Linked DNA regions of Caenorhabditis elegans. The protein of the gene in region 1 interacts with the protein of each later gene in a pairwise test. Each region holds a gene or a part of one and is shown in the gene's direction. Other genes may lie near its edges.

What was found.
Region 2: the proteins of T04F8.7 (region 1) and F49E2.2 interact in a two-hybrid assay, tested with the Caenorhabditis elegans proteins (one large-scale study listed by BioGRID).

The regions. Positions count from the first base shown.
Region 1 is NC_003284.9:11,673,529-11,685,236, reverse strand, and holds T04F8.7 (SH3 domain-containing protein), read left to right. Parts: upstream 1-4,256; 5' UTR 4,257-4,339; coding exon 4,340-4,660; intron 4,661-4,979; exon of another isoform or gene 4,980-5,023; coding exon 5,024-5,165; intron 5,166-5,575; coding exon 5,576-5,729; intron 5,730-5,997; coding exon 5,998-6,087; intron 6,088-7,340; coding exon 7,341-7,473; intron 7,474-7,545; coding exon 7,546-7,632; 3' UTR 7,633-7,730; downstream 7,731-11,708. Other genes in the region: hnd-1 (Hand transcription factor 1), read right to left, coding at 1-61, 196-310, 368-510; T04F8.9 (uncharacterized protein), read right to left, coding at 8,165-8,184, 8,236-8,300, 8,534-8,881, 8,931-9,084, 10,443-10,601, 10,653-10,776.
Region 2 is NC_003284.9:9,561,346-9,575,493, forward strand, and holds F49E2.2 (SH3 domain-containing protein), read left to right. Parts: upstream 1-5,950; coding exon 5,951-6,083; intron 6,084-7,437; exon of another isoform or gene 7,438-7,562; intron 7,563-7,690; exon of another isoform or gene 7,691-7,711; intron 7,712-8,033; coding exon 8,034-8,165; intron 8,166-8,205; coding exon 8,206-8,256; intron 8,257-8,892; coding exon 8,893-9,044; intron 9,045-9,096; coding exon 9,097-9,335; intron 9,336-9,418; coding exon 9,419-9,602; intron 9,603-9,644; coding exon 9,645-9,791; intron 9,792-10,734; coding exon 10,735-10,902; intron 10,903-10,973; coding exon 10,974-11,111; intron 11,112-11,161; coding exon 11,162-11,256; intron 11,257-11,300; coding exon 11,301-11,493; intron 11,494-12,001; coding exon 12,002-12,100; downstream 12,101-14,148. Other genes in the region: moc-5 (GTP 3',8-cyclase), read right to left, coding at 569-697, 747-929, 983-1,054, 1,581-1,696, 1,744-1,863, 1,908-1,976, 2,019-2,139, 3,215-3,553 and 4 more; glb-17 (Globin domain-containing protein), read right to left, coding at 12,699-12,763, 12,814-12,910, 12,959-13,231, 13,448-13,586.

The DNA.
Region 1 (11,708 bases):
AGATATTGACACGGAAATCTGAGTGAGTGAGTGGGCGAGATTCGTTGCAATCGGTTTCGAGCTGAAAAAACGTACAAGAGTTAGGAATTTGAAGAAATTTGATATTTGAAACAGTAGATAATTCAAAACACGATCATTTTGACTGATGGTACGAAAAAGTATTACTACAGTTACAAACATTATGATTCGACATACCATCTCATTTCCTCCCAGCAATTTTTTCAAATGATCAATGTACTGCATGGCAAGACGAAGCGTTTTGATCTTTGGCAGCGACTTTCTCTCTTCCGATTTGAGGTATGGAATATGTCTGAAAATAAGATTAAGTTAGCTATTTGTTTAGGGAAAAGAAATGTTAACAACTTACTGCTGAAGAATCTCAAAGGCCGAGTTGATACATTGAGCACGACGATGCTCCTTCTCGCGAGACTTTTCCTTTCTTGACTTCTTGGAATCAGTGGATTCTAATGAAGAAACCGCATTGTTTCCAGCAGTTGTTGATTTGACCATTTTGTAGATGAGCTAGCGATATATCACTGACTTGAATCGGAGGAATGAGGTACGCAAGATGGGTACGGGTGGGCGGAGCAAGAAGACAGACCCCGCAAGGGAGGATAGATGCGGGCAGGAAAGGTTCACGATGGTGGGAGGATCTGTGTAGACTACTATCCGGCCTGGAATATGTTTTTGTTGTTGACATTATACTTATGTTGAGGTGGAGATTTTTTGTATAAAGACAGGCTGTAAAACTGGAATGGCAAGGGGTTGTAAAATTGATGATGTGTATATGTACATGGTTATCCAAAAATGTTCAAAAAAATAGACTTCCGATATTTGACTTTTTAATATGGGTTATCCGTGAAATATGCATGGCATCAGAGTTTGAGGCAAAAATATAAGTATAATTTTTATATTCTCAAATAAAGTAACAGGATTATTCACTTACAATTAGTGCTGCGATGTTTATTGAAACTTATTATCTGACGTCATAAAATTTATTCAAATACTATTGCTACATAAGTTAATATGACTATAAGAAAGTTTTTTTTTGAGTTTAAGATACTTTTCTAAAGAATCCACTAGTATCAACACAGTAAATCACAGTTCAGATACAGTCTACAAATGTTTATGAATTCTCGGTATACGAGTTCCCATCCGGACCATCCCCCGCCATCAAAAACTAGCCGCTTGCCGCCCTGTCTGGGCATCCCGACGCACGGCTTTCGCGCAATCACCCCTCTTCGAAAAGATGCCGACAAACCCGTGCCGGACTCAATTACACTTTGTTTAGATTACAGAGTGAGCCAATTGATATCATACGGTAGAGACATTGGCATTATTGATGCACAGAAATTAAGGGATTTAGTTGTGAATATTTGTTGATTGTGTTCCATTATTTCAAAAAATGCTTATCTACATTTATATTTGATAAAAGCAAGCATTGTTTTCTGACATCTTGCTAAGTAGAGAAAACGCCTTATAATGAAACTGGAAATCAATCTGTGTAGGTGTCTCTATCTTAAAAATTTCCCACGAATTTGGAATATATGTACTAAGTATTTCTTATGCAATCTTTTCAAAAAAAAAACAGTACTAAGAAAAATCCATGAAAACTACCTAGAAAGGCATCCAAGTCTGGTTTGAAAGGTGTTCCTGTATGGAATGTTTGGTACTTATGGGTTTCGTTCACATCAAAAAGTTTTTGCAGTTTTTGAAATGTAACGTGGTTTATTTGGAATTTTAGGCATAGTTATGTTATTTTCTAAATCCTGAAGTAAAAGTAGATATATTCAGTGTTAAAAATGTTTCAAAAACGTTTTTTGGGGGAAAAAAACCTATATGTACAGTTTTTCCTTTCAATTTCACATTTCACATACGGTTACACCGAGTAAATCATCTAATATAAACTAATCACATTTATGCAAGGTTTTATCAGTTTACACTACTCAATTTCCATAGCACAACTTTTTGCCTCAAATTCCAGTCAGTCGGTATTTTGCGTAACTCTGCCGTCAAAACGAGCGCAACCTTTTCCCTCTCATCGCGCGCTACTTCAAGTACGGTGCAATATAAACCGTCATATGCTACTCGGCACCTGTTGATTGCATTCAAATCTAGCCCCGTTAGGATGACTGAAAGAAATCCGCTTCGACTCCTGGGAAATCTTCAAACAGTGTATCAAGTTTACAACCAGGTCGTAAATTTGCCGCTAGTATTGATCATTAAACGGCGGAATAACAGCAGTCAATAAACATTCAAATACTTGTTTGAGTCGCTTTTGAATTATAGCAAAAACTGAGAGGGGGAACCAATTGCTCAAGACTCCAGGCTCAAGGAACTCTCATAAACTTTACGTTTGTAGTTGTAAAACGCAACCGTCTGGCAATGTGTCAGGTAATACTATCCGGTGAGGAGGATTTATTAGTTCATGAGACTCAGAACACCTCTCGACAAGGATGTGTTTGTTTGCTCAACTAATCTTGTGAGAGCAAAAACATGAGAAAATGGAAAATACATCAAAATGATGTGGTTAAATATTTTTGACAATGAATAAAACACTAAAGTTAGAGATATTTTATGATAGTTCTCATGTAAGGGTGAATATTTATACGATTTTAATGAAAATTAAGGCATACATGAGATCTTGAAAGTTTTACAATATGGTTTTTTTATTTGTTAGTATCGCAGTAATATAATGAGCAGACAAAGTACATTAAATTTCTGATTTCCGACCACCGTTCCACTTACAAGCCAGCAAAATTGAAATTTTTGTTGAGCATAGATGTAAATTTTTGAACAATTTTTGAGGCGATCTGCTTAAAATTAAGCTATTCAGAGGTCGAGCACCGACCTAATTTTGCAGCACTACTGTTCAAAACTAACTTGCGAGCGTATTTAACATAATTATTTCTAGTATAGTTTTTTGGTAAGCTGCCAGTTTTAATTATTTTGTTTCCCATAGAATTTGTTCAACTGTTTGCTTAACCGCCGGCAAAACAACACAGACAAACGGTATTATCCAATTAAGGATACGTCCAAATAACATCTGATTACGTCATGATTCTTGTTGCGGCAAAGTTGTGGAACATGTGCCTCTACTCATCGTCAAAAATGTAAACATTGAATCTATTATGATCTGGATTACAATAATTGGCATATCGTTCACCGGAGTGTTAATCTGTTTTGTAGGTGCCGACATTTGTTCCTATTTCTTATAATATGGTAAATTAGGAACAACGAGAGTTGTGGGCATCTTGTCCACAAACTAGAGCTTCAGAATAACATTATCATAAAGCCGCTGCAAAAAAATATAAATTTTTAAAAAATCCATTTATACAATCAACATCTTGAAAAGTTTCACATAATCAATCTTCCCTTTTCCAAAGGCTGCTGAAAATTACCATAGTTGGTGACGGACTGAGACTTTGATGGTTCTCGTTGAATTGTCGAAAGTATTAGTAATTTTAGTTTTGTGCCTCATTTCACCACTCGTTCATGGGTACAGTATTTTTTCACTGTGATGTGTTAATCACATAACTATTTGTTTATGAGCGTCTTAAACTTAAAGTTTTTGTAAATCATAATCTTTCGTCAGTCAGTGAGTATTACAATTTAAATTCCAGACAGATATTTGTGGATATTTGTGTTCTAATCCATGTTACATCCTTGATAACGAGTTTGATCCCAAATATTTATAAATAAGATTTTTAAATTTGTTTTAAAAAAATCTGAACAAAAATATTTAAAACTCAGAAAATAGATGATTTTTATATCAAAAATTAATAATCTGTTGAGAAACCAATCGAAAACGGTGGTTTCAAGAAAAACCACTTTAATATAGGTTTTACGAGTCTAAATTAGGTTGATCAGGAAGATACTCAAAAAAATTTCACAAAGGTCCATTTACATGTCAAACTTAATTTCATCGTTCTCATTCAAGTTTTCCCCTTTCAAAAATTACGTCACTTTTAAATTACGAAATTGTTGAACCGAATTTCTCTGAAATTGTCTCGTCGTCAGTTTACTGATTATTTTTAAAGTCTTGACATTTACCTTACAAATAATGAATAATGAAATCAAGTTCATCATCGATGATGAGCTCGCATTCCCTCATTTTCTTCACACCCATCGCAAAAATTCAGTCATCTTGCAAGGGCACATGATAGATAACAGTATGATGTAGGAGAAACGAGAAAACGTTGGACGCGCCCCTGAAACAAGAGCAAACAGGCACGGAAACAGAAGAAAGAGGACGAGAGACGGTAGAGAGCACATTAAAAAACGAAACTCGGCGCCCCATTGCTTTGTTCATTTCATTTGACAGTCTTACAATTTGACCATGTCACGCTATCACGTCCCCGTTCCTGATTATGACTTTACCGTCAGACAACAAAAATACGTACCTGCTAGAAACCCATATATTCCAACCCCAGATTATACTCTGAAAAATCAAAAACAGAAAAACAGACCATCTCTGAATAATATTGGAACAGAGTTTGCACCACAAAATGCACCTGAATTCTACGAGCTACCTCCTATTTATATTCCAATTGAGGTTCCACCACCAGCACTGGTAAAAGAGCAAAGTTCCCGAAGGCCCACTAATTCAGATCGTCAATCGATTTCAAAGCTTCCTGATGAAAATTATAACTATCCCGAGGTGAGATTTATACAAATTTGCAAATTGGTTTTGATTGCTAATTTACTGAAGTTTTGAAAGAAAAAGAAAAATGTTATTTGAGTTCTAGTCTAAAAAATATTTAAAGTTAACAAATAACAAATTTTCAATGACCACTAGAAAATTCCTAGATTTTATTTTACTTTTCAAAAAAGTTTTGGAGACTCACTAGCAGCGTACTATTTTTAGAGCTTGGTTTATTGACTGTAGAACACCTGCTGTCTCACAAAAACATGCTCAATGACTTGTTGACGTCTTAGCTTGCTTTTTCAAATGTCATCTTTCCTATTTACATTTCTGGAACAATTCGCTAACTTTTGTATTCTTCTAACTGTTCACATTTAGATCAAGCAACATTCATATATGGAGGACCGAAATGAGGAAGAACGACACATTTCCACAAAAGAGCACATTAAGCAGATTGGTGTACCAGTGCTTCCGGGAATCGCTTCAGCGATACTTCCAATTTCAAGTCTTGAACTAGCAGGTATGTATTTTGGTTCCAGGACCATAAACTTTTATTGCATACTTAGATAAAAGACGGTGGAGTTTGCTCGATCCAAAAATTCCTTTTTTTTTTCTTTGGAAAATGCCTTGTTTGAGTGGCCGTAAAATAGTGGAATTGCTGATAAGTCGTTGCCGTCAGTCTGGCGTCTGAACTTTTCTCTACGTCTACCAAACATCTGTGCTTTAACATTTTGGTAGAGTGAAAAACTCATATTTTGCCTAACTAGCGCCTAATTGACATTTTCGTGAATTCAGGTCAGTATCACTCTTCGTTCTTACAGTTGTTGACAACTTCTGTGGTTCAGCAAAACCAACAGTCATTCAAACTGATAATTAATCACCAGTCAATCATTTGATCAGACAACAAACAAGCGAAAGTTTATTTTTCAGCAGCACCAGTAGCAACCGATCAAAACAGAGCATACCTCCGTCATTTAGAAAATCACAAAAAGTTTGACACTCTCCGCGGTGACCGTGGAATCGATGATTGTGAAATTTGCCAAATTATGAAGAAACAACTAGAAGCAGAAAAACAAGACTCTGGGTACGTGTTAAGAGCATGTTACTCATGACTAGACGAAACTTGTCTGAATAATCATGTGGTTAATCTCCAACGGAATTTTGATTGACCTAACACAGCAGGAACTATCATGTTTCGCGTTTTCACGTTTTGTAATCATGCCGCCTGGCGGAAGGAAAAAAAAAAACAAATGTCGACTTTTGTCAGCGGCCACCTCCAACACCTCTAATCACATAAGGAAACAATGCAAAATTCCGATTGCTTGCTCATCACTTCCTGTTTATTCTTTCAGACATCATTCCTGGGAAAAACCACAATATGCTGGACATCACGTAGCAAATCAACACTCAAGTTCGGGTAGTGGAAAGAAAAGAGGAGATGTGTAAGTTTGTGGAAGTTTAGTTTATCTAAAAAGAAAGAGTGCAAATAAATATTTATGAAAATATCCGACATTGCAATATTCTGACATTTGTTTTTAACTTCAAAAATCTGAACATTGTAAAGGTTTGAACATGCAATGTGGCATTACTCCAAATTTCTCTAAAAGGTAAAAAATTCCCGAAAGTTTCGTATTATTTTATTACTTTCACTGAAATTGTGGTATTGTGTAACCCAGCATAGATTTATGTACATAAATTGTCAAGTACGGTATCACCAAGATGTTTCTGATAAGTTTTCTAAATAGTTTACAAATATCTGAAACTTCATTTTTGTTCAGTAATCTCAGATATTTTTTGCAAGTTTTTGGCAGCTGTTATATAAATTATTAAAAACACCTTTGCCAAATACTGAGTAAAAACCCTACTAGCTATAATGCCGGACTTTATTGTATGATAAAAATTATAATGAGATATCCAATTAAAATTCAAAAACTGGCATATAAAAACTCATAATTTATCAAAGTTTTTGGCTAAACATGACTTTTCAAATCGAATATTAGTTTTATATATGTACTGTCAATTTTGTGATTAAAAATTTATTTATATTTCAAAACTCTATTGAAACAAATTTTCTTACCAACTGAGTTAACTTCATCTGCCTTAAAAATTTATTTAGAATCTTGACAGGTGGTTCGAAGTTGTTTTTCAACATTTTCACCCACATCTATTGAATAAATAAGAAACTTTTGTATTAGAAAAAGTTAAATCAAATACATATATCTGAATTTTTGCTTAACGAAATATACACGGAACATTTATAAATTCAATAAGTTGCCAGAAAAAATTCATGTGAAGTTGCGTTGTTGGAAGTAGCTGAACTATTCTCACATCAATATTATAATAAGGAATCTTCTTGATTCATTTTTTGATGTTTCTCTAATTCCAATACATAAAAGGGTGGTCTGATAAGTATTGAATATTTTTTTGCTCAAGATAGTAAGATAATCACGTTCTGCTAAAACATTATCAAAGTTTAAAAATTTGGCATTTTATTACCTGCCTGTAAAATTTGTAGATGTTGTAGATTGTGGTATGACGAAATTTGCCGCAAACTGTCGTTTTTTAATTGTGAAGAGAACTTCGGACTTTTAAATGCGAAAAAGTGGATTCAATTTAAATATATAATTACTGAAGGGTGTCAGAAGTATATGCAGTCAGTTATCAACACACATTCAATCCTGACCAAAATTTACAGCCGCGACATATTTCGGATTGAGGAACAACCAGAGCCCGAACCATATTTCCGTTCAGTGAGTGCTCGTGCTCGCCATAACTACGAAAAACACCGAGACGTTGATGTCAGCATCCGAGCCATGGAGCAAGTTGATGTCCGTTTTGTTTTCTTAAGAGCCTTAAAACCTTAACAAAGAGTGTGCCCTAATGATAACAATTTGTTACAGATTCTCTACATGGAACGAGAGTTTGCACTGTGCCGTAAATCGGATAATACTATCGGATGGATACCTTCTTCAGTTTTTGAATTGTAAACCTCTCTGTTACAAATTGCGTTTTTTTTTCATGTGTGTTTGAATGATTTTTGTTCTGATTTCCCATCAAAGTTCAATAAACAAATGTCATAACTTTATCAACATTATTTACGAATTCAGCAATTGCTGTAACGGGGTTGGTGGGAATCGGGAAGACATAGGAAGCAGCAGAAACTATAATTTTTCACGGGAGCAAAGGTGGAAATGTACAACTTGGTGGTACTCAACAAATATAAGTTAAATAAATACTTCGATTAATTAAAATAAATTGATTTAAAAAAATAGCAAAATAATCATTGAGGTTAAATTATGCTTACGTTTTCTGTTGATTTTCAAACAAAAAGTTATTTGCTTCTACCAAGTCAAATGATATTGATAACTTAAACTACAAGAAATTAGGCGTTAAAATAAAAATTGATAAATACGATTTTTACAAACAAATACTACAGAACTGAGATCAATTGTTTGAGATGCTTTTGGAAATTTGGAAGATGAGTTTTTTTTGATTGAAGGAAGATAGTAAAGCGATGTTTCAGTTGTCCCATAATCCGCCTAAAACGTGGATATTTGGAATAAATGGAATTCAGATGATAGACTCTTCACCATTTATTGTGAAAAGAGCTGGTTCCGCTTTTGAGCAATCGATGAACATTTGAGGCAGTGGCGTTCTGAAACTTTTCTTCATTTTAGTAAATTATTAACAATAATTTCAAAGCTGAGCTTAAAAAAATCAATATTTTAGAAAACTTGGTCATCAAAACCTAGAAACATTTACAATTTGAAATTGAAATACGACAAACTACAAAACGCGATGTTGAATAGTTTTAATATTTTCAAGATCTGTCATATGTTTTAATTTTTTTTTTAAATAAACCATGTTTCAAACTTAAAAATCATTTACCGTGTTGGTGTTTTGGGAACAGATGTACTTGTAGATGCTTCAGAATTATCTTGCTCCATGACTATTACAGTTTCTTGTGGTTTTGGAACACGAGGTGACTGACGTCTGGGTTTTCTAGCCGGGTGTCGTCTGACCGGCGAAGGAGCACGAATGTAAATACGGTGAATGGGTGAAGTTGGAGTAGGGGATTCAGACATATCTTCTGCGGAGAGATACATCGTGCTGGTTTGCACTGAGGTTCCAAAAAAAGGACTTGGGGGACTGTAGTACGGTGGAGGGGAAAAGCTTGCAATGTTGTTGTCCGATACAAAATTTGTAGGATTGTAGGCAGGAGGAGCATTTGAATTACTGAAATTTAATTATTATGCATTTTAGAAAATTTTGCTAAATAACTTACTCAGTGATTCTGCGGTCTTCAATATCAGCGCTTTCATCATAAGATGGAGGGTTATTCACTGATGGTGGTTGAATCAAAATGTTTGTGCTCTCCATTATGATTTGGGGTGGAGGAATTGGAAAAGGTGGAATAAATGTTGGTGTTTCTGGTAGATCTGAAATGTTAACCACATTGACATAAGATCCTCTTGTTTTTGCTAGTAGTATTATTTTCCATACCATATCCCCAGCCTGTCACCATTTTATTCTTATAATAAAACAAAATCTAATTAATCCACTTAGTTCACTTATTAAACCTCCGTGGTAAACCGGAGTAATTGCCAAGAGTAACAGACGGGTGTCAGGTTTGGGTGCAAGATGGCCATTGTTTTATTCTTGGTGTCTTCCAAGCAAACACTTGTGCTCTGCTATAATGCCTGGAGGGCGTGAGATGAGAAGAAGTAATCATTATATAGCCAATGATGTGAGCAGATGTCGTTCATTCTGTCAAGGTCGGGAGACCGGAGGCCCCCTGTACGCGCAAGAAGATGGGCACCCATGTAAATAGATAGTGTACGGTATTTATGGGAACAGATGCCAACATGAAATGTTGCCACTTGGTGTGACCCTATCCATGTGGGGCACTGAATATTGTGGATAAATAAATGAATACTGTCTATATGCGGATTAGAATTAATAGATTTGTCACCATATTTCCTTCTTCAGGGTATAAAGCTTCAAAATAAAGAAAGATCATATGTATATTAAAATTTTAAACTAAAGATGGTGTAGCATCAGAGCGGAAAATATTGGAATTTACTTATCTGGTGCTAAGTTTGAACAAATAGCAGGTTCAAAAAAAGTTACCATTTTTGTTCTATTTACGTTATAAAACTATTTAAGTTATAATATATTACAATTATAAATTGAAGGAAATTTAATTTTTGGGATACGGCTGCTACATAAGGACCAAATTTATTTATATTTAATCATTGCGAATGTTCAAACAATGCTTTACTTATCTTCAATACATCATTCAAAATTGACGTTATTTTTGAAGTATTTTTAAAATAATTGTATTAATGCGTTAACTAATGTTACTTCTATTAACTCCTACAATGTTCAGAATTTCAAATGTTACGCCACTCACCAGCACGGCGACAGAAACCCGACAGACGTGCGCTCCCTTCTTTGAACAGCAAAACGCTTTGTGCGGCGAGAAAAAAGACAGATGTTGAAGTGTATGTGTATTGTGGCATAAAAGATGGAATTACTGTCTGTCGTTCTACTGTGCAATTTCACAATCACTCATCCGCCGATTCTCGTAGCCCGATTATAGTGTGCATTTCCGCATGGAAAAGCCAAGAAGACAGAGAAAAATGCAAAGGAACCCTCTAATTAACGTCAAGTTTCTCCTCTCTTTTTTAAGAAAAGATTTATCATATTCACCCGTTGCTGGTAAAATTGAATTTTTAAATCTTATAACGCAGTCTGCACTTGTACTTCAACAAAAAATTTTAGAGATACCACTTACAAGGAGGAAGAGGTGGGCGATCAGTGAGTTGAAGATCGTGTTGAAAATTTGAACGAACTGTGTTGAGTACCACATCAGATTGACACGGTTTTTTGTCAGTAATGAAAAAAGTGAGCATGATTATTCCAATACCAGAAAGAACAATCGCAGTCACTGAAACTTTAAACCAACTCAGTTGACCGTTTAAGGCAACAATATATTGTATCTTACCTGTCAATGCAGCAATCGTCGCATCATGTCCTAAACATACGAGACTGAACAGTGTGCAGGTCAGTGCTGCCAAAATCACAATGATCAAAGTGACAATTCGAGTTGATGGTTGAAATGATGCCATGGCTGAGGATTTTACTCAATCTAAATGTTGAAATGAAAGGTTTGCCAATTGACTGCTAAGCTCTGAAGTGGGCGCGCATTGAGACGTGGCAAAAATAGTAGATTTGTGGAGGAGTGTGTGGAATAAATCGAGAACGGGGACTAGAGATCGGGAAACAAAAAGCAAAAAAATAGATGAATGCGAGTAGAGGAAGACAGAGGCACGAATCTGAAGGAGATGGGTCATAAATCCTTGCGAGCTACGGTATCCACGGAGACTAGCCATCAGTTTCAAGAGCTGACTGGTTGGCTTTTTCAAATTTAGAAAATTGAATAAAATATTTTAGGAAAAGGAAAAAAGCGAAAGAAGAGCCGAAGTCTTATTTGAACTGTGCATTTTCAAATCAAATTACTCTTGCAAAAAAATTCAAAATTGGTCAAAAATATATTAAGACGTTTCTTATAGCAAACCTATAAAAATGTTCACTTATTTATACCCAATTTGTCACCTTATCATCTTTGCAAAACACAACTAGACTCAGGCTAAATTTTTTCTTGATGGCTAAAAAAAAGTATAAACCTGGTTCCAGTCCATGACATATTTACAACTTGGGCAATTCATATCACACTTTTTTCGGATAGAATCAGACTTTTTGCATGAATCTCCAGGAAGAAGATTGAAATTAAAACACGTAAAAACAAAACAGAACATTTATCGTGTTTTACAACTATTTTTACGTTGGCATCTCTTCTTAAGCTCAAAAATTATGAAAAATATAAAAATGCATTCTCAACATCTAGCTCAGAATGGAAACAAAATGTAGAAGAACATGAATACTAACAAGCGAGGATCTTAAGAGGGAGGAGTCAAAGTGTCCCGCGCGCGATGAGCAACTGGCCTATGCACCCCGCGAAAACCGAGTCGCATGATGACAGATGGTCTTGCTGGACATA
Region 2 (14,148 bases), 2.1 Mb from region 1:
GTTGATAAACTCAGAAAAAACTAAAAGATTGGAACAATTAACCGAGGAAAGTTTCCGAAAAAAGTCCACTTTAAGTCAGTTATCAATTTTTAAAGTAATAAAATCAGTATATTATTCAACAAGTAGCAGGATTAAATACGTTTTAATTGTCCTCTTACCATTATGTTTGAAAGTTCAGTTTTTTGACCTGGAACTTTCTGGAGCCTACAGAAATTGTGCTCTTAAATTCAGAAAGAACTAAAAATTTGCAACAATTCACCGAAGAAACATTACGAAAAATATCCACTTCAGGTCAGATATTAACTTTAAAGTTTAAAAATCTCAGTTAATTTTTCATTCTGTAAATGTACTCTACTTCATTCTGTAAATGTGCTCCATTATGCCGAAAATAGAACTTTGATTGTTTTCCTCCACATGTCGTAGTCCACTTTTACGTATATCTATTTGAGCTCAAATTTCTCGGAAATGATACTCCAAGTTGAATGTAACTTCACAGAAATTAAAATAAATCAACTTTATTAAATCAATGCAATATGTATATAAGAGAAAAGTGAAAGTGACTAGTGGTTCAAATCTGATTTTCATTGTCAATTGTATACGTTGTTTTGCCTCCCGACTTGTGCACAAGGTAAATATTGGTGAGCATCATTTTTTGACTTATTGCTTTACACATATCATAAACAGTTAGTAAGGCAATCTGCAATTTATTCAATAAAATATTATAATAATAGTGACTAATAACTTACAGTACAAGCAGTCAATGCTTCCATCTCAACTCCAGTATTTCCACTGCACCTGGCAGTTGAAATGCAATGAAGTTTTGAGTTTTCAATATCATGATTAAATACGGTGTCCACAAAATCAAGACGTATTGGATGACATAATGGAATCAGATTTGCAACTTGTTTTGCACCCAAAATGCTTGCAATCTAAAAATAAAAACGATCATAACAACATTAAAAATCCACTCTAAAAGTTTTACCTTGGCAACGGTTAAGACATCTCCTTTCTTGATGGTATTTTCAGATATTTGGCGGGATATCTCAGCGGTCAGCTTGAAAATGACAATTTTTTTAAAAAATTAATGCACATGAAATAAATGTTTTGTTCGGTCAGGAGCCACAAATTAGTATATGTTTCAAATTTGACTAAAGTGTGTGAACAAGAAAATAATTTTGTGATAATAAAATTGAATGGGTTTTAACACTACATATACAATATTTTTTGAATTAGCTGGAAAAAATACACATTTTTTTTTTCTTAAAAAAGAGTTGTGGATGTGGGGGAAATTCTTTTTAAATGTAGTATTCGTTTTCAAACTAAGAGGAATAACAAAATAAAAAACTGTAAAACGCAATTAAAATTCAGCATGCTAAAAGTCACGAATAACTTTTAAAATTTAAATAGAGAAAATAATAGAAAAAAACAAAAACAAAATGTGTGTCGATACTACAAAGATTTATGTTTTCATTGAATAAAATACTGATGTTACGATTTTCCCATTTTAAGTAAATCATGAGTTAAAAATAAAAGAATTTGTTCCATATGAGCATAATCTCATAATTCGTACTAAAACTTACAATGATTGTTCCTCTTGCCACAGCTGTTCTTGTGCTGGTATCTTTTTGAGAGACGTCAACTTGTTTTGCGTTGCCATTGTTGTCCACATGAGTGAGCAAATGAGTAATTGAAGACACTGAACCGAAACTATTTCACCGGCTTCAAAATTTTGCAAAAACTTACCTGAGTAGGTTGTCGAGAAACATCGAATTTGAGAAATAAAAAAGTGACGAGAAGAATGCAAGTGACTATGATAAAGCGAACTAGATGGTAAGTGAACAAGTATAGAAGATGCGGATGTTACTGTAATAAAAATGAGATTCGAAAAACAGGTACCAAATTAATACCAGGAGTTAGCCCCCGATAAGAATCATTGGACGATTTGGCAGGTTCTTCAGAGCGTCCATTCCTGAAAACTGTATTTTTTTCCTACTCAAACAGTTTGATGGGCTACTTACCGGCATGTCTAGCTTTTTTGTTGTTAACGGCTTTTTGAATGACCTCGGAAAGCTGTTCGTCAGAGTCGCCACAACGAATTCTATCACGTAGACTTACTTCGGAATTTCCATGGAGGCATACCTTAAATTAATTGAAATTAACCAAAATTCAAATTCAAACACAAATGTGAAGGAAGGACACAATCGGGTATGTTGTTGAATGAACATTTTCTATTTGCGGGCTGAGATTATGCATAATAGCGGGAAATGTCAGTGAAAATTTTAGTTTATGCACTCTGAAATATTCAAGGTTTTTCCATATTCTTATTCAATGTTTTTTGATGTTCCAATTTTTCGAAGCATTAAGGTTTTGTGATAAATTTAGAACATTTATGCATGTTTTAAAGCCTACTGTTTTAATTAATATATTTTTTTAATCAATTTTATTAACGCATTATTTCAGGAGGTCTTTCATAAAAATGATTATGATGGTACAAGTGAGAAATACTCGCAAAGTTTTGCACTTTTATCTGAAATTCTCCAAAATGAAAAATACAACTTTTTATTAATAGACATTATTAATTGAAAATAAATACCTCAACGACACCTCGTAACTTCCTATAGACTAAAGATTGAATGCAAGCTTTATATAACTTGAAAACAAGTATTAAAGGTGTTAACAACGAGTTGAAAAGAAAAAAGGAACCTGAATGTTAGGGAACGAGACGAAATACAAAGGAGAAGAGCAGAGAGCACAACTTGTGCAGAGCGGCGGCTGGGCGCAAATGAGGCCAGGTGGAGGAGGCAAGGCGATGACGAACGGAAAGGATCGCTTCGCACAAAATCTTATGTTATACATTACATTTCGTCTCTCTTTCTCTCTCGGACACCCAACATTCACTTAGATTTTCGAAAGATGAGTTTATTACTGGCAAAGAATAAGAATGCAATATGATGAGAAAGGAATAAATACAAAAAAAGAGCGAAATCAATTGCGTCCTTGGAAGTGCCACGAAGGACGACGAATGAGCTATTATAAGGATGCATGATGTCATGTGAGAGGTTTCCGTAGATATTTCCTCCCAGAAAGATAAAATCAAAATAAGATTTATGAAATGAAAAGAGGAAGTCACTAGAAATCAACATGTTTATAAAACTTAATAATACATTAATGTTCTTCCGGTAATTTTCAAACTTTACATTTTTCAACTACTTACTTTCAAATTTCCATCAGCTGTTATTCTCAGCCTATTGCAAGTGTTACAAAAGTGATCTGACATCGAGGTGATAAACCCAAATTGTCCTTGGAATCCATCAATCTTATACGCTTTGGTTGTGTCATTCGGTGAGTCGGATAACCGTATTACACCATCTCCGTATTTATCAACAATTAAATTAAGCATCTCTCGATAGCCAATGAAATTGTCATTTTTGAACTCATTACCCCCAAAAGGCATGAACTCTATGAAACGGACGTCTAGGTTACGATCTTTAGTAAGATTAACAAAATCAACAACTTCGTTCTCGTTTTGGTGTTTAAGAACAACTACGTTTAACTGAAAAAAATTATGGATATTTAATTGACAATGCTCAGAAATTGAGACTCGACTCACTTTAACTTTTGGGTAGTAACCTCTCGCTAATTCAATTGCTTTCCAAACTTTATCAAATCCGTCACGTCTTGTCATTTTGGCAAATTTTTCACGATCAAGGGAATCAATACTGATGTTTATCTAAATTTATTTAACTTTTAGAAATTAAGTTTTTGTTGAAATTTCAAAAGTGTTTTGAAAAGCAAAAAGAGGATTGGATATGATTATTTGATTTGCTTCCACAAGTAATATTGTGGAAATGAATCGATAAACTTTTTAGGCAAACATGAAAACAAAAAGCACAAATGTCTCAATAATTTCCCAATTCTGATTGAAAAACATGTTTACTTTTGTCAATCCGGCATCTCTCAACTGTGGTAAAAATCTCTGCAAAACAAGACCATTTGTAGTTATACCAACTTCTTTGATTCCTGGAGTAGATGAGATCCCTTCTGTAATTGAATATGCCATGTTTCTCCACTGAAGTCATATTTCTACAATAAACTCACCAACAATATGCACAATATCCTTTCTAATAGTCGGTTCACCTCCTGTCAGTCTAACTTTGTCAACGCCATGTGCAGCGAATAACTTTACAAGTCTTAATACTTCACTGTTTGAGAGCATTTTGTCTTTGGGCTTGAGAGGAACACCTTCGGCTGGCATGCAGTAAAGACAACGGAAGTTGCATTTTTCCGTTAGCGATATCCTCAAATAAGTGTGCTCTCTCATAAACATGTCAAAAAATGGTGGCTGGCCTTTTGTGTGTTCAATCTGAAATTGAACGATGAACGACAAGTGAACTTTCAGAATTTTCTTATATTTTCTTATCTCTTTCTCTGATTTCTGAAGCTCATTTGCACAATATGTTTAAGAATACCTCTTGAATTTTTAGTCTGACTGCTTCTCTTTTTTGTTCGGGCGTCAACGTGAGTATTGGTTCGGCATGTTCTCGTAATGGAACAGTTAGTTGTTTTACAATTTCTTCTGTTGACGACTTGACCCGTGACCATTGAAATAACTTTTTTCCTGCTCGACAACTCATCTGTAATATTTATATCAAAACACTTTTAAAAATGCGGTGCGATTAATTTATTGATTAGGAATTGAGAAAAAAAACAAAACCTAGAGAAAAGGTGTAAAGTAAACTCCAAGCAGCACATTGTGGCTCTCACGCTCAAACATAAATCGTGGGCGTTGAAACCATAGAAAATGCAAAACGGAACAACGGGAATGTTTTGTCATCATACAGGTTGATGGGCACTCTACTCTGCATTGGTGATTTGCAATTCAATTCCGAAAAGTGATTTTTGTGTCGACGAAGGAGAAAACGAACGTGTTGCAGAGAACAAAAAGAAAAAGAGGGATAGAGGCTCAGGAATTTTGGACTTTATATATCAGGAAATGTATTTTTAATGAAAATGAAATATCATGATTCGGTCTAACGATTTGAAAAACTCAGTAACTTTTGAATGTCAATAAAAAATTTTTATTCCAGCTGTTGAAAAGTGTTACTATTCTATTTGATCATTTTGGCATTTTATGGATAATTTTTAACAATTTTCTTACTGTCGCTACTCCACCTTAATTAATTTCTGATGCAAGTTATTAATTTCTGATGCAAGTTATCAATGTCTGATTTTCAAATGGTTCGTGAAAATAAATCGAGGTTTTATCATTATCTTTTAATCAATATGATTCTGACGCTAGAAACACAATATTTCTGGAAGAGACAACAACATTGTTTGTCAAAAGATAAACAAGCGAATATATTTCAGAACATTTGTGTGCTCTTGACTATCATTTCCTCATAGTTTCTAAATCAGAAGGAGTGTTGCCATTATGAGTAAGTTAAATACCGTGTCCCAAAAATATAGTGTACTCATAAACCCCTTTTTTTAAAGTTGTCACGTCCTCCAAGTGTCCCATCTTCCAAACATCTCTATTTCTCTCTGTCTTTCTTTCTGACGTGTCTTTTTAACTCTTTTGGTGACCCCTGTAATTTGTACATTGTATAATAAAGCATAGACTATTTGAGACAGAGAGAGCGATGTGAAAAGGGCACTTGATACAACGTAAAAAAAATTGTTACAGCTGGCATCTTCAATCTGGGCGCTCGACGATCTTCGCTGATTGGGATGAAACTATGGAGATGGAGAGGTGAGGATTTTTGGGGTAAAAATATTCAATCAATTTAAGTGACTCATACAAACACAAAAAAATCATGTTATCAAAATCCATTCAATAATAAAATTGCAAAAAATAAATACGGAATGTTCCAATCTGCCTCCCTCATTCCCATCCCATTCCATTCTTTTGTTCTGTTTGTCCTGGTTTTCATCGAAATATTGATAAACTCCAATGGAATCTGCAACTGACGAGTTTTACTACCAATCTCGCATTCCACCACAGCCATCCCCTTTACCAGCTCAAACTCTTGAAATTAACGGTCACAAATATGTTCTCAATCATCGTTTCAAGAGTATCAAGATTGGTAAGTATGGTTATACGTCCGAGTGATTGGCAAACGACCTCGGGATACATACGTTTTGTTAGCCGGATAGTTACGACGTGTTTTTTTGGAGGGAGAAGACGAACGGAATAGAAAACTTAGACATTAGTCATGCTTGTCAGTTGTGTCGCGCGTCTCTTTGTGCCAAAAAACTTCGCCACATGTTAAAAGGTTGGTCAACTTTTGTTTGTATCGAGGGAAATACTGAACTTAAATGCAACATTAATATTTTCATAGAATAAAATGTAAGTATTAGTTTCAAAAAGTTACATTTTAAAGCTTTATAATTTGCAGCTCAATTTATATTTTCAAATATCTCTGAGAAGCATGTGAAAATATAACTTTCATTTTGAGGTGTTCGTAACATTATATAAGTTCTCGTCTTCTGAACACTACCTAGAAATTTAATATATTGTTGGAATTGGAGTTGGAAATGTTGGAAATCATGTGGGGATGCCCGAATGTAGGTGTCCCTGTAAGACAAAACTAGGCAAATCAATAAACACGATTTTTTAAGTGATAATGTGTATGTATTGTAGCTTTTACTTGTGAATTAATTTCATAAGCAACTTAACTTAACTGTGCTAGTGGTATTTTTTGTTTAGTTACATTTTCCTAACAATGATACACTTATTTTGATTGAGCAAGATGCTCAACATATTTCTACTGTCTTTGATGTTTCACATGTATAACGCAAATTTTGAACATACATGTTCAAAAAATCATTATTTACTCACTTATTAACAACATTGGTATGACAATGTAATTTAAATTGCGGTATATTAAATCAATAATTTTTTATGGTTTAAAATAAGTTTTGAGTTTTGACTACTTCTCTAAATTTTGAATAAATTACAAAACGAGTTACTTGTAAAGATGCCGATCAACTTTTGTAGCACAATAATTAAAGTTGTCCTGTACTTTATTCATAGCTTTATTTAATTCTAAACAAATTTTATTTTACTTCACGGGTCAGTGTTCAGAATTGAAACAATTAAAACAAACTAGAGTTCAATGTTTTACTAATAACACTCACTATCAGGTTTCTTTACAAGCTTAAACGATGCGTTTTTTATATTTTTATATTATTTAATTTCAAATTATTCAAATGTTGTTCAAAAAGTTGCATACGGCTTGTCATTTTTTTTTGTCAGATGTCACCATTCTCTGTTGTCACGCTCTTAAAATTGATAGTGTCAAAATGTCAACAGTATTTCTTCACACAATCAGAATAGTCGCTTCAGAATGGCACAAAAACTTAAAGTAGGCGGCGATTTTTGGTTTTGTTTCACACTCTCCCAATCTGCCAGGTTTCTCGCCGCTTGGCGCCGATGCCCGGGTAATGTACATAATCAAACGCACGCAGCATACCAAAGTCGGGGCTCTTATCACTTGCACAACGCTTTTTCAATAGGTGCCTGCCGCACTGCGTCGTTTCATGAACTTGGTTGTACGCTCGCCTCATTTTCTTATAGAGTGTACACTGTTTTAGGCGTTTTGCCGGCATAATGGCCATTATTTTACTCCAAAAATGAAATATTTTTTGTTTCATTCCTTTCTTATGACACATGTTGCGGTGATAACCATAATCGTTATGATGGAAAGTGGAATTCAGGAATGTTGGCAAACAAAATGACTTTATAACACTATTTCTTCAAAAAATATAGATATTTGTGTTTTATTGATTTAGGTTCACCGTCTTAGGGTTTTTTTAAGTTCTATAACTTGTTTAGTTGTATATTTTTTATAATATTTAGTGTCGCATGCCTTTAGCAATTAACAATATCAATAAAGAAAGTTTCTCGGATGGCAAAAGCGTTATCTACAACAGACCAACCCTGCCCATAAAATATTATAAAACTTTTCCCGCAAAAGTAGTGCATTACTTATGAAAATTGAATGTCAAACAGTTTGCAAAAAGTTGGTTTTCAGTCTCTCATCGGTATCCACCAATCATCCCGATGTCGGTCGACGAACAAGCGGTACCACCGGAGGTTTCGCCTTCAATGGCTGCCAACATTCCACAGATGGTCCACGATCAGCTAGCCGCACAGTTTTTGCCAGGTACCTCTTGTTTAGGTTAACATACACAACAAAATTTCAGCGGCAAAAAATCTTGGGCAAGCCGGAATGCATCTACTGAAAACATATTACAGTAAGTATTTTTGATCAGAAAACAATAAGTTCTCTTACACAGTATTCTTTCTATGCTTTTGTTGTATTTTAAAAAACCTGAGAATGCCTAAATTGTGGCTCGAAAATAGCGGCAACAGGGAAAACAATCGGCGAAGAAAGATATAGGTTCCTTCGCTACGAGATATTCCCGCGCCAAAACGGTAGGCACTCTCATGATCTCATGGTTTCTTAATATTGTAAGAGATGAGAAGTAAAAAAAATTAGAAAACGTTACTGCAAAAAGTTGGCAAATATACGTTGAAAGTATTATAGTTATCATGGTCGGGACGGTTTGTAACAATGGCTCAATAATGTGAATAAAATATACTCAGCTCATCCCATTTCTGTGTTAATAATTTGTTTATAACTCAATTCAGTTTGTATCGCAACACATGAAAACATGTGTAGTTGAAAGACGCATTCATAGAACTCGAGTTTTATATTTTCATAGTTTGTGCCTAAAAATTCAATGACAAAAACTATATTTTTTGTGAGAGTGGAAATTGAAACATTTTCGTTTGCAATCCATATCAATGTAGGTCAAGAAAAATAGCTTTTCAATAATCACATCAAGTTTTCAAGATGACAAGAGTATATAAAAATTTGCAATTTTCAGTGTTCCAAGAAGCATTGTCAAACTATTGTGATGCCACTCACAAACTTATCAAATCAGCTGATACTGCTGGACACAAATCGAAAAATGAAGCTCGAGAGCTTTCAAAAGTTTTTAAAGAGTTTGTACAGGGAGTAAATGCTCATCAAAAAGTCGTAAGCATCAATCTAAAGAAAAGTTTCGCATTCAATATATAATTAAACATAGATTACGGAATTTGACGCGCTGGCACACAAAGTTCATGACTATAGCAACAAGGAAAAAGACAAGCTGAAGACAGAATTTGCTGAGTACAAAGCAAAAGAAAAAAAACTTCTGAAACGCAAAAATGGAGAAACTGAACAAGATATTACCGCGTTCCATAAAAAAGAAGCAGCCAGCTGGGCAAAACAACAGGAAATGAGATACAAATTTTTCAATGACAAGCTGCAATCCTGGATTCACGGGTGAGTTAAATGTAATTAGAATTGTGAAAATAGCAACATTAATTCAATTTCTGGAAAAAAAAACTCTCATAAAATATTATCAGATACGTCGAAATTGGGAAATTATTCCAAGCCCAAGAAGTGATTGTTCAGCCAGCAGTTGGGAGTGTGATCGCTGCACCGGTTGAAATTGAGACCATACCAGAAGACCACAAAGATTGGCATCAAGATTTACATGAGCATGCCGCCGTTGTTGCAGCTGAGGAAATTAAAGAGAATGTTGAAAAGGTAAAACACAATTTAATGCGTGTATATCATATTAAATTTCAGAAAGTAGATGAAGCTGTACAGGACAGCCGCAGCAATTCGACTTCATCGGTTGCAACAACGCTAGAGGATCTTCCATCTTCTCGTCGTCTCACAAATGACGTTTCCGGAGTCACACTGGTTAGTAATTATCGCCGTCAATCAATTGAGGTTAGTTGAGGACTAATATGTCATGTGAAGAAATGTTTCAAAGTTGTTATAAGTCAATATTGTGTATAAACAATAGGTCATAGTTACATTAAATCACGTACATAAAACTTATAATACATACGTTTCATTTTGTATTAAAAAAAAAGAACACTCACATTTTCAAAGTTTATTACTATGTGTAAGCCATCGGACTAGTTGTAGGATACTTAAAATTTGAACTGTTGAAGCAAGGAGGTATTCAAAATTTCTCCTATTTTGAAAAATTCGCATCTGCAATAACACTATTTTTTAATGTTTGTATAATGTCCGCATGTGCTATTAAATTATCTAGGATAAAAATCAATAAAAAACGCAACATTTTGAATTTTAATTTAGATTAAAATCAGTTTATTTATTCATAGTTAAGCCTGCATGAACTTTCAATCAGCAACACAGTGTTTTCAAAATTTAACAATAGAATTCAAAAATGTTTGTAAACATCGAAGCAAAAGTCTTTAATCGAAAAAAGAAATATTAGCATCGTTTTGTCAATTAGATTTTATTGAGTTTTCACTTTGGTTTTGAAATCTTGGCAATCTTTCTATCACGTTTTAGAAATGTTACGCGAATTTTAAAAGGCTGACTGAAGAACAACTATTTTCACGTGTTACATAATTATCAAAATTTTTTCGTAACAACTTCACGTGTTTGTTTAATGGTAGAATAGCGACGTATGAATAGTTGCTCTATTTGACTCAAAATTACCTCACATAACATTACTATATTTTATTTAATCTTTCACATAAAGTTTTTATCAAAGATTTGAACTGCAGTAAAAACATTTCATATTCTTATTATGTATTCACAACGTGCCCCGAATTAAAATACCATGCATTGGTTTTTACAAACAGTAAATGCAACTGGTTTATTTCGAAGAAAAATTTAATTGCCGTATTAATTTCAGATTCAACAACTTCCACCCAACAACAGCTACTCCCACATTGCTCCACCAGTCTTGCCGCCAAAACCAGTTGTCGAAAACCCCCAATATGCTCCGATTCGCGCTCAACCAGTTCCAGTCACACGCCAGGAGGAGAGCACATACGCCCCTCGTCATAATGTTGTCGCCGAGGTAAGCATCTGGTGTAATCATCTTTTCACTCGCTATTATTTGTCCATTTTGATAAAACTATGCGTTTCCAGCAAGTGCCTCAACAGCCGGTTAATAGCGCTCCAGGTGGTGTCCGCCGTGCTGGAAACACAATTCCAGGTGCTGTTAATGTTTTCGGATTTGCAAATCAATCAAATCCTCAGCCAAATGTCCGCTACACGCCTGTTCAGGTAAAAACTATTCGTGTAATTTTCAATTTTCAAGTGTGATAATCCTTCAGAATAGCACGCCTTATCAAGTTGTTACCAGCGATTATATTCGCGTTGGGAGAGTCGTCGATAATCCAGTGACAGAGGAGCAAATGAATGCTAAAAAGTGAGTACTCACAAGAAATTTGAAAAAAAGAACGACATATTCAGATTCCACGTGGATTCTAGTTACCTTCCAATGGCTGCTCCATCTCACCAAGCACAACAACACAGTCGCAATCATAGTACAGATATTTCGGTTCCATCATTCTTCAACCCATCACAATATGGAAGTATTCTGATTGTTAACGATGATTTCAATGCTTCTTCCGGAGAACAGATGACTGTGAATCGTGGAGACAAGGTACCAAAAACTTTCTAAATAATTTTGAAAAATTAAACTAAAACTTGTTACTTTTTGTGACGTCAAGAAGAAAACAAAAAGAATATAAAACTTTCAAGCAAAACGGCAAACCGATAAAATTTCTAACAACAGACCGGTGCCCTAAAAAAGTGGTAACATTTGCCTGTATCAATATTTTAATTTGACACTATTATAGGATTTGAAAGCCTACATGAGTAGAGTTTCATGAATGTTTTTTTTAATCAAAATCAATTTAAGGTTATTAATTTTTTATCAAAAAAATCTTAGCATTGGTTCGAGATATTTAATTTATGGAATTCGTTTTTACATTCAAACAAGTCCTTACTGAACATTTGTCTAACAGGCTCTTTGTAATATTTAGTATTGAATTAGAGAATACTTGCAAAACATAGTGTAGTTGAAAACTATGTTGATGTTGTTCTTTGTTAGATATTTTGAAACATGCATTAGTCACCTCCACAATTTTATCACATCTGATTAATTTCAGGTAATCCTCTTAAAATGCGGATCTCGTGGATGGGTGTTTGTCAGAGATTCGATTTCTAACCGAACAGGATGGGTTCCTGAGCCATATGTCAACCCATAAACTTTCAATTACAAAAAAACAACATTCTTGTCATTTCTCGTTTTGTCTGTGACTTATCTTCCCATATTTTCACCAGAACGCCTATTTTTGCAAATAACTATTTTGTGATTTCCTGTAATTCCTTGATTTATTTCCCCAGTTTTTAAATAATTCATTCTTATCCCAGTGGTCCAGTTTTTATCAATATTTTATTCACAGTAAATAAGTAATTAAAACACATGGTAAAGCAAAAAATATTATTGTATGGTAACATTTAATGAATTTAATGATTAAAGTCATGAATGTTGGTGTAATTCTTAATTAGAGAGTGTTTGGGAAGAATTGGGCAACCTGATAAAAAAGCAACTTCAGCAAAAAAAGATTCTCTGCCATAATCAGAACGAAATCAAGGTGGCATGATTACAGTTTTAGAGAAAAAGCAGCAAAACTTATTGGAATCAAAAATAATCTTGAATAAATTCGTAATGATTTAATATTGTTTGGAAACTTTTTAGATTTTTGTTGATCTATCATCAATACTAGAGGTGTAGAAATTATATATTAAAAAACGCAGCACACGTGTTTAGAATTACGGTTGGAATAAAAAAGGAAAAGAAATTCAAGCACTTAGAAGGCCATTATTATCCTCTTCTTTGCAGTTACGCATTGCTTCTTCCAAGAATCCTGAAAAATGCTGTTACTTGTATAATAAGAGTTAGTGTCGAAATCTATACCTCTCTTCATTTCACGGACAATGACAGTCATTAACTTGTTCCATCCCAGACGAGCCAAGCAATTTTCTCCGCTGTATACATTATTAATATCAGCAATCTTAAGAATATAAGTTTAGAATTGTGCAGTAATGTTGGAATCCTTAACTCCTACCGGGATAAGACTTGCATCAGTATCCACTTTTCCATTTGCAGTTCCATTGCTATTAGTATCCTCCTTTTCTTTGGAGCTATCCGTTGTTCCGGTTGTTACTTGATCAACTGTTACTTTTTTGAAGACAAGCCAGTTATCTGCTCCAAAATTGACTCCTCTGTAGAAATGAATTTGTCCAATACGATGTGCCATGTCAAAAACACTGGAAATTGGACAAAAACCGAGAGATCCGACTGCCGTGTCAAGGAAGTTCTGGATACGGTGCGCCTGGAAATCTCCTATTTTTTAAGAGATACTTGTATTATCAAAGCAACTTTAAATGTTTATTTTCTTGTATTTGTTGATTATTAATTTTTTGGTACAAAACTATGATAATGTCTTCAATCTGATAATTTCAAACTCTTTAAATGTTTGGAGTAACACGGAATTTTTTTTGAGTTGACAGGTAACTTCTATTCAAAATCTAAATTTAAACATCCTCACCTGTAAATGAAATTCCTTGCTTTGATTCAAAGCACGAATATCAAGACTTTCACTCTGAATACCGAAATACTCAGCAAACTTTGGACGTTTTTCAATGAGCGTCTGCAGAATCTTCTTTCCAACGTTGTCGGTTTTCGCGCTGCAAAACTTTGAATTCAAAAAGCAATTATTCATGGGTTAATGGACATCGATCAAAATCTAATACATGTGGAAGCAAGCCGAAGACGTAACGCGTGATGCTCGCATAATCGAATTCATTTTGCTTGTATCATTTTTAGATGATTTCTGGCATTAAATTAGGTCTGGTCTATGAGGAGTAAACAAAAATACATATTAGTTCAATTTTTTTCACATGTAATTGGCAGTTGTTTTGAGCTAAAAAAAAGATATTAATTTTACTTGCCAAAACGAATTTTCAAACTTATTATAATAGCTGCTAATGAAATTTTTTTAAAATAAATGTTAATTTGTGTTCACAGATTTTTTGAAACAGAAGAAAACACATGTAAGCCTGTTCACCTTTTGTTCAACTGGAGTAAACTTATGTAACGAAGTGAGCTAACAAATAAAAACTGTTATTTTTTAAAACTTTGAAAAAAAGTTTTCAAAGGTTTCATTTTCAAACTGAAAAATATGTTATACGGTTTTATATTTGCGCACAAAGGAAGAACGAAATCAGCAAAAATAACGACAAGGCAGAT